2 linked regions of the Schizosaccharomyces pombe genome follow. Each later gene encodes a partner of the first gene's protein in a complex. Each region holds a gene or a part of one and is shown in the gene's direction. Other genes may lie near its edges.

Region 1 (5,968 bases):
ACGCGAGAATAAAAGTGCTAAAACTTTTTGAGTAAACAAATAAATAAAATTATGCAATCAGAATCTACTTAACTTTACCGACGTTATCGCGTACTTTGGCTATTTACTCGACGACAAGGCTATGCCAGCTTTGATACACTGGGACGTTACTTGCTCACGACTTTCGCCTTTGCCAAACAGCCTAGTTCTGTGTGAAACCTCAAACGGCATTGCCGTAGTCATATTATCATTCGAAAATATATAATTTAAAGGTTAATAAGAAGAATTAACGTAAACGTCGAGTCTTATATTATATTAAAAAATGTGGAACCCCAAAAAGAAGTCAGAAGCATTAGCTAAGTTTAAATCCTTTCCTTACCCTAAGCCAGGCACTTCCAATGTACTTGATTCCAAAGAAGGTGATACTAGAAGGAAGTATTTTACCAAGACGCATCTACATAGGTTATTCGTCTTTGTGGTACTGTTGCTCTGCTCAGGCTACTTTTTAAAGCATACACTCTTGACGCGTCCCAAAGAGAGTAATGTTGTTATGATATTTGTCAATAACATCGGAGGTGGCGTTTTAGATGTAAAAAGTCCCAGACAATGGGAGCTGGAGAAGATTTCAACGGAGAACAAGAAGAAATACGCTGAAAGGCACGGATATCATTTCTTTGTGAAGAGCACAGGCTTAAAGAGACGATATGCTCATGAATGGCGTGAATCTTGGGAAAAAGCAGATTATATCATGGAAGCCATGAAGAAATACCCTCATGCTGAATGGTTTTGGTGGGTCGATTTAACAACATTCATCATGGAACCTCAATATTCTCTTGAAAAGCTTATTATTAACAGACTTGACCATATTGCGACCAGGAATATTACTGATAGCATGGAGTTCAATCCAAAAAATTTCCACGAAATTCCATTTGTTGACTATAGTGAAGATATCAACTTTATTTTAGGGCAAGATTGCAACGGTTTCAGTTTGGGTTCTTTTCTGGTTCGTCGAAGTGATTGGACTAGCAGATTGATGGACTTCCTTTGGGATCCAGTAGTCTATGGGCAAAAGCACATGGATTGGCCTCACGATGAGCAAAATGCAATTGAGTACTTCTACGAGAATAATGCTTGGCTTCGAAGCGGCATGGGATTCGTTCCTCTTCGCCTTTTCAATTCATATCCTCCAGGTGCTTGTGCTGGTGAAGGTGAAAATCCTCGTTTCTTTTATAACCAAAAAGAAGGAGACTTCTTGGTAAACTTGGCAGGCTGTAATTATGGAAGGGACTGCCTAGATGAAATAAATCATTATAAGGGATTAGCGCAAAGAAAACGGGGTTGGAGGAAGTTAGTTCCGTTTCTTTAATAGAGACCTCACATATTTCCATCATTATTATTAATATTTTAAATTCATACTTTATCATTCTTTTTCCTTGCGTGTGCTAGGCTGTCAATGCGATCCTTTATCATGTGATGCACTAAACTCTCTCCTTTGCTACTTAGCAGCTTTTGCGGTCATTTAACACTGCTTAATATTTGGTGCTTTCCGTTTTTATACATTAATTTCTTCGCAAACAATTGTTTTAATAGGATTAGATGTGTATATTTTTTATGCGACATGTGATGACAGAAAAGAGAGAATGTCTGAGAACCTTGGCGTTCATTTTTTTCTTTCTTCAAAAGACAGCGTTGACGAAATTAAAATTTTCTAAAACATGCTTTTGTCAGAAACATTTAAGCCTTGAGACAATGACTATAAAGGCAAAGTCTGATGTCGTAATCAGTTTTAAATTATAGCATAACATATCTTTTATTTCAATATCAATTTCTCCCATTTTTTAATTTAATAACATTTAGTGCTGATATAACCTGCTAGTATGATAAAGTAATTCTACCTACTATAGTTTTATAATGTAGTGAGTGGTTGAGATTTCCACATATCGTCTTCTGAATAGGCATGTGGGTTCACAAATAAAGAAGTAGTTTGATAAATACAGTAACATATACTAATTGTTAATAGATGTAGTTTTTCTACAAATATAGCACCTTGATTGCAAAAGGAAATGTATAACATTTAACTTTTTCACGAACCAAAAAGTATATATATTACATTTAAGTACTTTTGTATTACAAATAAAGCTTTAGAACTTCAAATATTACCATTGTTGGCTTTGGTGTTTTAGCGTCTCCCAGTTCGTTTGCACACTATACTGGCGTCCACTTCGAAGAAAACTTCACCACTCCCAAATGGCAACTGGATTTAAATTGCCTGAGTTAGCACCCGTAAAATCAGCATGGGGACCTCCTGAAACGGAACAGATAGGAGGTGATATTCCTTATGCTCCTTTTAGTAAAGGTGACCGTCTTGGAAAAATTGCAGATTGGTCTGTTGATCAACCTAAAGATGGACGTGAACAACGTGGACGTCAAGGAGCATTTGCTGGTCGTTTCCGTGACCAATATCAAACTTATGGTTATGGCGCGTCGTCCATTTTTGGTTATCAGCATTCGGAGGACGAATCCAGTTTCTCGGTGATCGATCGTGGTTCTGTCAATCGTACACGCACTTCCGCTCGCAACGGCGGCACTTTATTGAAGGTTCGCGGTAGAGGACAAAACGTTCAACGAGGTGGTCGTGGCGGTCGCTACGGTTCTTCTGGTGGAAGAGGTGCAGGTGATACAGTGGTTTCTAGATCCTCAGGCGCTGGAGGAGCAAGAGGTCGTCGGTTTGGTTGGAAGGATTATGATAAACATCAACGTCTTCGCAACGCCAGTGTTACTGTTGGTGACGACTGGCAGCTTCTTGACGAGGTTGAGTTCAGCCATTTATCTAAGCTCAATTTAGCTGCTGCTGCTCCTGTTACTGTGGATTCATATGGTTATATTTATCCTTATGACAAATCTTTTGACAAGATTCATGTTAAATCAGAAAAACCATTACAAGCCTTGGACCGTGTTCATTACAACCCTACCACTACTGAAGACCCCGTTATCCAAAAACTCGCTCTTAATAGTGATGCTAACATTTTCATTACGGATTCCATTTTGTCTTTATTGATGTGTTCAACTCGCTCAGTGTATCCCTGGGATATTGTAATTACTCACCAAAGTGGAAAGCTATTCTTTGACAAACGTGAAGGCGGACCTTTTGATTATCTCACTGTCAATGAAAACGCATACGATTCTCCCATGGACGCTGACAACCGCGAAGGTGTTAATTCTCCTGGAGCCCTTTCTGTCGAAGCTACGTACATTAACCAAAACTTCTGCGTCCAAGCTTTACGTGAAACCGAAGAAGAGAAATATAAATTACCTCATCCCAATCCCTTCTATAATTCTAAGGAAGAAAGTGAGCCATTGGCTGCTCACGGTTATATCTATCGGGATGTTGATCTTTCTCTCGAGACAGACGAAAAGCCTGTTAAGCTAATGGTTCGTACCGAAGTTGACGGTTATGTTAAAAATCCTGCGAACGATGTTCAATACATTTCTATCAAGGCTCTTAATGAGTACGATCCCAAATTTACAAATGTTACTGGTTCTGTGGATTGGCGTTCCAAGCTCGAAAGTCAAAGAGGTGCTGTGTTTGCCACTGAAATGAAGAACAATAGTTGCAAGCTTGCCCGTTGGACTGTCGAAGCTTTATTGGCTGGTGTTGATAGCATGAAGGTTGGTTTTGTCAGTCGTTCAAATGCCCGTGACGCTCAGCACCACGGCATTTTGGGTGTTGTAGCTTATAAGCCTGCTGATTTGGCTTCCCAAATGAACTTAAGTTTGTCTAATGGTTGGGGTATTGTTCGTACTATTGCAGATGTCTGTTTGAAAATGCCTGATGGAAAATATGTCCTTGTAAAGGATCCCAACAGACCTATTTTACGCTTGTACTCTGTTCCACCCAACACTTTTGAAGAAGCTGCTGGACCCTCCCTTGAAGCTTCTTCTACTGCTTAAAAAGGACGGATGTAGAAAGTTCATTAAAAAGGTTACATGTATAATACTCAATTACATGTGCAAATCTAAGATCTTTAAATCGGTTTTATATTTTCGGTTTCTTTATTTTTTAATCTTATGAACTGTTTCTCGGTAAATTAGAAGCTAAGTGTAAAGTAATGTATTTGTTGGAATAGTAAAAATGAAGCGAAGGAAAATTAAGTGCCGTTTAATTCATTTGGAAATATCTGATTTTCGATGCTTCCAACGTGATTTTTTTCATGAACATTGCTTTTAACACACTTTAGGGTATTACGGTAAAAAAATTAGAACTCGATTAGTAGAAAACCGATATAGCTCATTGCCACTAGCCAAGAGATCGTAAAACGGTTTCAAGCTTAGTCAGAATATTGTGGTAAAACAAGAGGTAAAGCTTTTAGCAAAAATTCGTTTGAAGAGAATTTACACCGGATTACACTTATAATTTACCATACGTGGTTTACAAAAATAGCTACTAAAAGTTCACTAAGCACGTGAAATAAAGACTTTTACTAAGCATTTGCTTTAATATTGGCTTTTCTATGCAAATCCAAGAAACTGTTCCTTTAGATGCACCAGAGCATTGCCCCGGACCGTCATCTGAAAATGCAGGAACTGCATCAGCATGTGAAGGATGCCCTAATCAACAAATTTGCGCTTCAGCACCTCGTGGAGAAGATCCAGATTTACCATTGGTTGTAGAACGCTTGAAAGAAATCAAGCACAAAATTCTTGTTTTATCAGGTAAAGGAGGTGTTGGAAAGTCCACATTCTCTTCGCAATTAGCATGGGGGTTATCGCTTGAAGAAGACAAGCAGATCGGGTTAATGGACGTGGATATTTGCGGGCCTTCAATTCCGAGAATAATGGGTGTTGAAAAGGAGGAAGCCCATCAATCAAGCAAAGGCTGGTCCCCTATTTATGTATGCCCTAACTTGGCTGTTATGTCAATTGGATTTTTATTACCAAGCGAAGATTCATCTGTTATATGGAGGGGGCCCAAAAAAAACGGGCTGATCAAACAATTCATCAAAGACGTTAACTGGGAAAATTTAGACTATTTGATTGTTGATACTCCTCCGGGAACTAGCGATGAACATTTATCTTTGGTTCAATTTTTTAAAAATTCCGGAATTGATGGTGCTGTTGTAGTTACTACTCCTCAAGAGGTTGCTCTTCAAGACGTCCGTAAAGAAATAGATTTTTGCAGAAAGGCGTCCATCCCTATCCTTGGATTAGTGGAGAACATGAGCGGTTTTGTATGTCCTTCTTGCAAAGGCAAGTCTAATATATTCACTATTACTACAGGAGGAGGTGAAGCGTTAGCAAAAGAAATGGGACTACCATTCTTGGGTAAAATTCCTTTGGACCCATTGATTGCACGTTCATGTGATTTTGGAAAAAGCTTTATTGATGAATGTCCTGAATCGCCTGCTTCCGAAATTATCATTGATATTATTAACAAAATTGATGAGAGTTTACAGAAAAGGCAATGAAAAAAATATAAAAAAAGGTTGGAATCTGCTTAATTTCAATTTTTTTGTATAATATAAAATACGTTTATTCAAATATTTATTGAACCTTCTGAGTATATTCCTTGTATATCCTCATTGAGCACTTAAAGTAAACATGTAGTCATTGTGACATTTTTTGGATTAAAAAGAAATTTGAAATCCTTAGTTAATGGATATAATACAAGACAATGCTAAAGCCTGCAATTCAAATAAAAACTCGCAATCAACATAAGCACATTAGTATTCCGAGGATCTGAAGATGCATTGCCCGCGGAATAGCCGACCACCATAGTGATACCACCAAAATAAAAAATGTCAAAGATGGGATCCTCAAGCATGGGTGAACTTCAGGATGGGATAACCCAAGAAGACTCCATTGAAAAAAAGTCAAAGAATGTTGCTTCACACGGAGAAAAAAGGAAAGTGAAGCGAAAAAAAGAAGACCTAAGTATGGATGGTTCAAATGATGGAGTGAAAGATTCACCAGACTCTAATGACGACTCTCA
Region 2 (5,617 bases), 810 kb from region 1:
GATCTGGAACAATTCAAATTCATAATGCTATTACCGGTGTTTTAGAAGCTCGATTAGAGGGTCATAAAGAAGGTGTTTGGGCTGTCAAAATACATGAGAATACACTTGTATCTGGTTCGATCGATAAAACTGTTCGCGTTTGGAACATAGAGAAAGCTAAATGTACGCACATATTTAGGGGACATATTTCCATCATCAGATGCTTAGAGATCTTAGTTCCGAGTCGTCTTATTCGCCATGGAGTTGAAATTGTTGAACCAGATCAACCGTACATTGTCAGCGGCTCTCGGGATCATACACTTCGGGTTTGGAAGCTTCCAAAAAACACGGATCCTCCTTATCTTCCAGATAATACAAACTCTATTGACCGTTGGGAGAAGAACCCGTATTTTGTACATACTTTGATAGGACATACAGACTCTGTACGAACTATATCCGGCTATGGTGATATACTTGTGAGTGGGAGTTATGATTCTTCAATTCGCATTTGGAGAGTTTCAACAGGGGAATGTCTTTACCATCTGCGGGGTCATAGTCTTCGTATATATAGTGTTTTATATGAACCAGAAAGGAATATTTGCATAAGCGGTAGCATGGATAAGTCCATTAGGGTTTGGGATTTATCGACAGGGACTTGTAAATATGTGCTTGAAGGCCATGATGCCTTTGTTACGCTTCTTAATGTATTCCAGAATAGGTTGATATCAGGTTCTGCTGACTCCACAATTAGAATATGGGATTTGAATACTGGGAAACCATTAATGGTTTTGCCGTCTAATTCAGGCTACATTAGTAGCTTTGTGTCAGATGAACACAAAATTATTAGTGGTAATGATGGTTCTGTAAAGTTATGGGATGTTAGGACTGGAAAGCTGTTACGTTTTCTATTAACAGACCTCACAAAAATATGGCATGTCGATTTTGATGCTATGCGTTGTGTGGCTGCAGTGCAGCGTGATGATCAAGCATATTTGGAAGTTATTAATTTTTCCGGATCAAGACCGTAGAAAGTTTCATTTTAACAATATTTAAGAAGACATAATTAGAGTAGTGTCTAACTATTTACATCAGCTACTAACACATATTAAATGTATACAATGTAAAATTAACAGCCAAAGCCTATCAAAAGTAAATAAGTAACGAAGGATTGAATAAATTATGCTGGTTGGTTTTGTAACTGGTATTGAATTAACATTGGGAAAAACTTCCAGATAGAAAAATCCGGCCAGTAGAAATCGATGAATTTTATCTCCGTATTTTTGTGACACTGATAAAATTAGTTGAATATCTTTGACTAGAAAATTAGGAGAATTTTTACTTACCTGCCATAACATAAAATCAGATAGACGCTCCACACCGCTAGTGCGAATCAACAAGTCTAAAGGAAGACTATCTTTTATCAATAGGTTTTTTTCAAATATATCTTCATCTATATCTTCTGGAGTGATTGTACCATCTTCTGCCATTTTTACTATTGATTGCACAGAAGTAGCAATTTCATGTCGAGAAGTGTATGGAAAGCAAACATTTAATGTTGCCCTAAGATGTCAATTAGCAAAATAAAAATTTGAAAAATTTCACATACTTTGTGTTATGTTTTGTAATTTCCACAGCCTTTAGAGCAGTTTCTAAAACGTCAGGTTGCAACCTGCTAAGATCGCCAACAATGCGAATACGGATCCCATACTGATCAACCAAATCACCATGAGCAGTAATTTGCGTTAAGCTGTTTTTTGCAATCTCCATTAACATATCAACTTCATATTTAGATCGCTTAAAATTTTCAATGGAGAATGTGAAAGCCGATACTTCTTTAACTCCTAACTTCAGACACACTTTTAATAGCTTACGCAGGGTTAGTTAATGTACCAAATTGTGCAGAACGTAGACGGATACCAATGCGCAAAACATGGAGAAACGGTACGTTTAACCTTCTATTAATGTTCTTTAAACTTACAGATTTTAAAGCTTCAAAACCTGAGCTATGACCCTCGATAGTTTCCATCCTTCTTTGACGAGCCCACCGTCGATTGCCATCCATTACAAAGGCTATGTGTTGTGGTACTTTGCCACGTTTAATTGTATTTATCATCATCGTTTCTAATTGATCAAGTGTCCATTGTAATGGAGGACAGTGAATAAACCAGCCTGATAAATTACCCATATTGTCAAGATATTTTGTCAATTCTTTTCTTTTCCTTTATAAATGCACGCTAAATATCAAAGAGAAATAATTATCTTGATAAACAATTATTTTCAAAAAACGATTAGATGTTTTTGACGCTTCTATAAAACACTCAGGTTATCCGGTTCTAGATATGTTTTATAAGTATAATTACCAAGCACGCTAGAAAAGGATTTTTAGCTAAGGAAATATACTTTCAATCGTAAACGAATGGAACAAAGAGACGCTAGTTTAAGACCAAACGCTTTTGTATTTTTTTTTAAAAATCACGAAAGAAATATTATTTTTTGTACAAATAAGTAAGACAGACAAAATTCAAACAAAACCACAAAATACTGTTTTCAAAGTGAGACGTGCGACCTTTGGGTCTAACTAGTCTAACGCAAGTGTCTCAGAAATGAAGCCAGTTCATTTAAGAGTGTCGTTAAGCCTCCTTATTTTTAATACCATCCTTAAGTTACGCTAATTAGAATCAAAATATTACAACTAAAGACTTTTCGCTCAAACCCTCTACCAGCACTTTCCTGTTCAAAAGATGAGGCCTATCATTTTACAGGGTCATGAGCGTCCTTTGACTCAAATAAAATATAATCACGATGTAGGTTTAATAACCGTCCATTATATGTGGAAAATTTACTAATTTTTGTGTGTAGGGTGATTTATTATTCTCATGTGCCAAGGATAAAGTGATTAATGTCTGGTTTTCACACAATGGTGAACGCCTAGGTACATATGAGGGTCATACTGGTGCAATTTGGACTTGTGATATTAATAGTACGTGAAAATTGGTGGTGATGTATGTTGGATTAAGACATCTAAAGGTATACGGATTATGGAAGTATAAGGAAACACGAATAATGAAACATATCATGACTCTAATAAATGTATTTTTTTTATTAGTCGTCCGATTGCAGATGGTTATACTCGTGATCCACGATTCTGAGTTGGCGTAGTACTTAAAGTTAAATATGCATGGTGCATCTCCTTTACTTATATTAATGCTACGTTTACCTCACTTCACTTCCTCGTGGAAAGCATTTAAACTTCTTTTAAATCCTTTTCCTTCTTCTTGATGCCTCAAATCCAACTAGATCATCTGTTCCTTTTCCAATGGTTACTAACTGAAACAGAAAGTAGCACTTTAATGGTTAGTGGAGCCGCTGACAATACCATGCGTCTTTGGGATGTTAAAACAGGAAAGCAGTTGTACAAGTGGGAATTTCCTACTGCTGTCAAACGTGTTGAGTTCAACGAAGATGATACCCGTATTCTTGCTGTTACCGAGGAACGTATGGGTTATGCTGGTACCGTCACTGTTTTCCGTGTTCCTATTTCGGAAAGCGATGCCGCTGCTGAAACCCCCCTTTACGTTATTACTACTCGTGAATCTAAAGCAACGGTCGCTGGATGGTCTTACTTGAGCAAGTTTCTCTTTACTGGTCATGAAGATGGCTCCGTTTCCAGATACGATGCTATAACCGGAGAATTCGTTGAATCTAAACAAGTTCATAATTCTGGTTCTACTATTACTGATCTTCAGTTTTATCCTGATCGTACTTACTTCATCACTTCTTGCAAGGATACGACTGCTAAAGCTATTGATGTTGATTCTTTTGAAGTCATCAAAACATACCTTACTGATACGCCTCTTAATACTTCTAGTTTTACTCCTGTCCAAGACTTCGTTATTTTAGGAGGTGGTCAAGAAGCCCGTGATGTTACTACTACTGCTGCTAGACAGGGTAAATTTGAAGCACGTTTTTATCATGCGATTTTAGAAGAAGAGTTAGGCCGCGTTAAGGGTCATTTCGGTCCTATCAACACAATAGCTGTCCATCCCAAAGGAACCGGTTATGCTAGTGGTGGAGAAGATGGTTATGTTCGGGTGCACTTCTTCGATAAAAACTACTTTGACTTCAAGTATACATTGTAGGTTAATTTTATTCAAAAAACTGTTGATAGTATAGTAATGGACAACGGAACTTTTTTCCAAAGATGTATCATTTTCGTTTAGGGAGCATTATATGAAAAATAACCTTCTATGAGTACAAGAGTTTTTTAATAAATTCCATTCAAAATTCAAATGTTTTAAAGTGAAAAGTAATGTAATTGTCATATTCCGTAAAGCAACTAACTTATCAAACGCTTCTTTTAACGAGCTTTTGAAACATGTTTGAGGAGAACAGCCCCAGAAATTATAATTGCTCCAAACCATATGTAGTTGTCTATCTTGCTGTAGGCTGGAGTCGTTATTTCTCGATAACTAGGTGTTTTTTTTGGGAAGTATCCCAAAAGTCGGTTGATGAGATTTTCGTCGAGCATGGCAAGTTCCTCCAAAGACCACAGTTCGCAAATCTCAATCATCCATCTCATTCTTTTGCGACTGTTTTCAGGTTCGGGAACAATGTCTCGTAATTTTTGTCGTAAAAGGCCAGTTTTTTCCAATGCCATACCAGTAGCTGGATTGATTGAACTTTCGATTTTTTTTCGTATTAAACTGGCAAGTTTTGGACCTTTACCATTGGTGCTAACCATAATTTGTAGAGGGCCGTTACGGATTTCAGACCCAAAGTAGAAATCACATTCAGGTGGAATATCCGCCGCATTGACCGGGATTTTTTTGCTTTTGCATAACTTATAAATTTCGGAAGACAAGCTGGGATCATCTATGGCTGTAAGTACCATGTTTACATCGTCAGACAAATCTTCGACTAGAAATCCCCTGTCTCGCCATTCAACTTGCTTCTCCTGTATTCTCCAAGCCACTTCTTTACAAAGACCAGCTTTTGGACTTACAACGATAACATGGGCATCCGCATTCAAAACATGCAATATACGCCCAGCTGCCACAACGCCACCTCCAACAATTAATACTTTTTTACCTTGTGCACGCCAAGCAATAATTAATGATCTAAAGCTTAGATTAGCCTAAAAATTACCTTGAGATACATCAAAAAACTTTGCTAGCTTTCATTTTGTATGCTTTGCTAATTTTTCAATTCTGTGTAGATGAAAGTTAAGATACTAAAAAGCTGAAAATGATTTATAGAGCCTTGTAACTTCATAAAGATGCTTGACTTACCCACCAGGCTGCACAGACTGATATTTTGAAGCCATTATTCAAATTTTATCTTAACCAAGTGTAGGTGTTCCTGTATACTTGAGAATTATAGTATCGCCAATTACAATTCGACATTCAGTATCTGCTTCCCTATACGGGTTAATAGTTGGGAATCCTATTACGCGTATACTATTCGTTTATTTAAGACCTAAATTTTCCAGTGAATTAAAACTACCTTGTGAATAAAATCCCGAGGACGTGCAAATTTTTGAAACTATTTCATAGCACCAACTAAGCATATTCCTATACATCATAGATTAATTAATATGCTAAATTTATATATTTTTTTCATTGACAAGAAATATCCATAC

What was found.
Region 2: moe1 (region 1) and sum1 share a complex: the UniProt entries of both Schizosaccharomyces pombe proteins name them as parts of the eukaryotic translation initiation factor 3 (eIF-3) complex.

Annotation. Positions count from the first base shown.
Region 1 is NC_003424.3:4,549,625-4,555,592, forward strand, and holds moe1 (translation initiation factor eIF3d), read left to right. Parts: upstream 1-2,215; 5' UTR 2,216-2,226; coding exon 2,227-3,930; 3' UTR 3,931-4,117; downstream 4,118-5,968. Other genes in the region: gmh5 (alpha-1,2-galactosyltransferase), read left to right, coding at 302-1,345; Fe-sulfur cluster assembly ATPase Nbp35, read left to right, coding at 4,491-5,444; rex1 (putative ribonuclease H70), read left to right, coding at 5,799-5,968. UniProt on the Schizosaccharomyces pombe protein: mRNA cap-binding component of the eukaryotic translation initiation factor 3 (eIF-3) complex, which is involved in protein synthesis of a specialized repertoire of mRNAs and, together with other initiation factors, stimulates binding of mRNA and methionyl-tRNAi to the 40S ribosome.
Region 2 is NC_003424.3:5,356,236-5,361,852, forward strand, and holds sum1 (translation initiation factor eIF3i), read left to right. Parts: upstream 1-2,688; 5' UTR 2,689-2,720; coding exon 2,721-2,783; exon of another isoform or gene 2,784-2,838; coding exon 2,839-2,959; exon of another isoform or gene 2,960-3,315; coding exon 3,316-4,118; 3' UTR 4,119-4,269; downstream 4,270-5,617. Other genes in the region: F-box/WD repeat protein Pop2, read left to right, coding at 1-1,007; rer2 (cis-prenyltransferase), read right to left, coding at 1,157-1,267, 1,323-1,539, 1,586-1,845, 1,958-2,164; met8 (siroheme synthase), read right to left, coding at 4,337-5,096, 5,268-5,302. UniProt on the Schizosaccharomyces pombe protein: Component of the eukaryotic translation initiation factor 3 (eIF-3) complex, which is involved in protein synthesis of a specialized repertoire of mRNAs and, together with other initiation factors, stimulates binding of mRNA and methionyl-tRNAi to the 40S ribosome.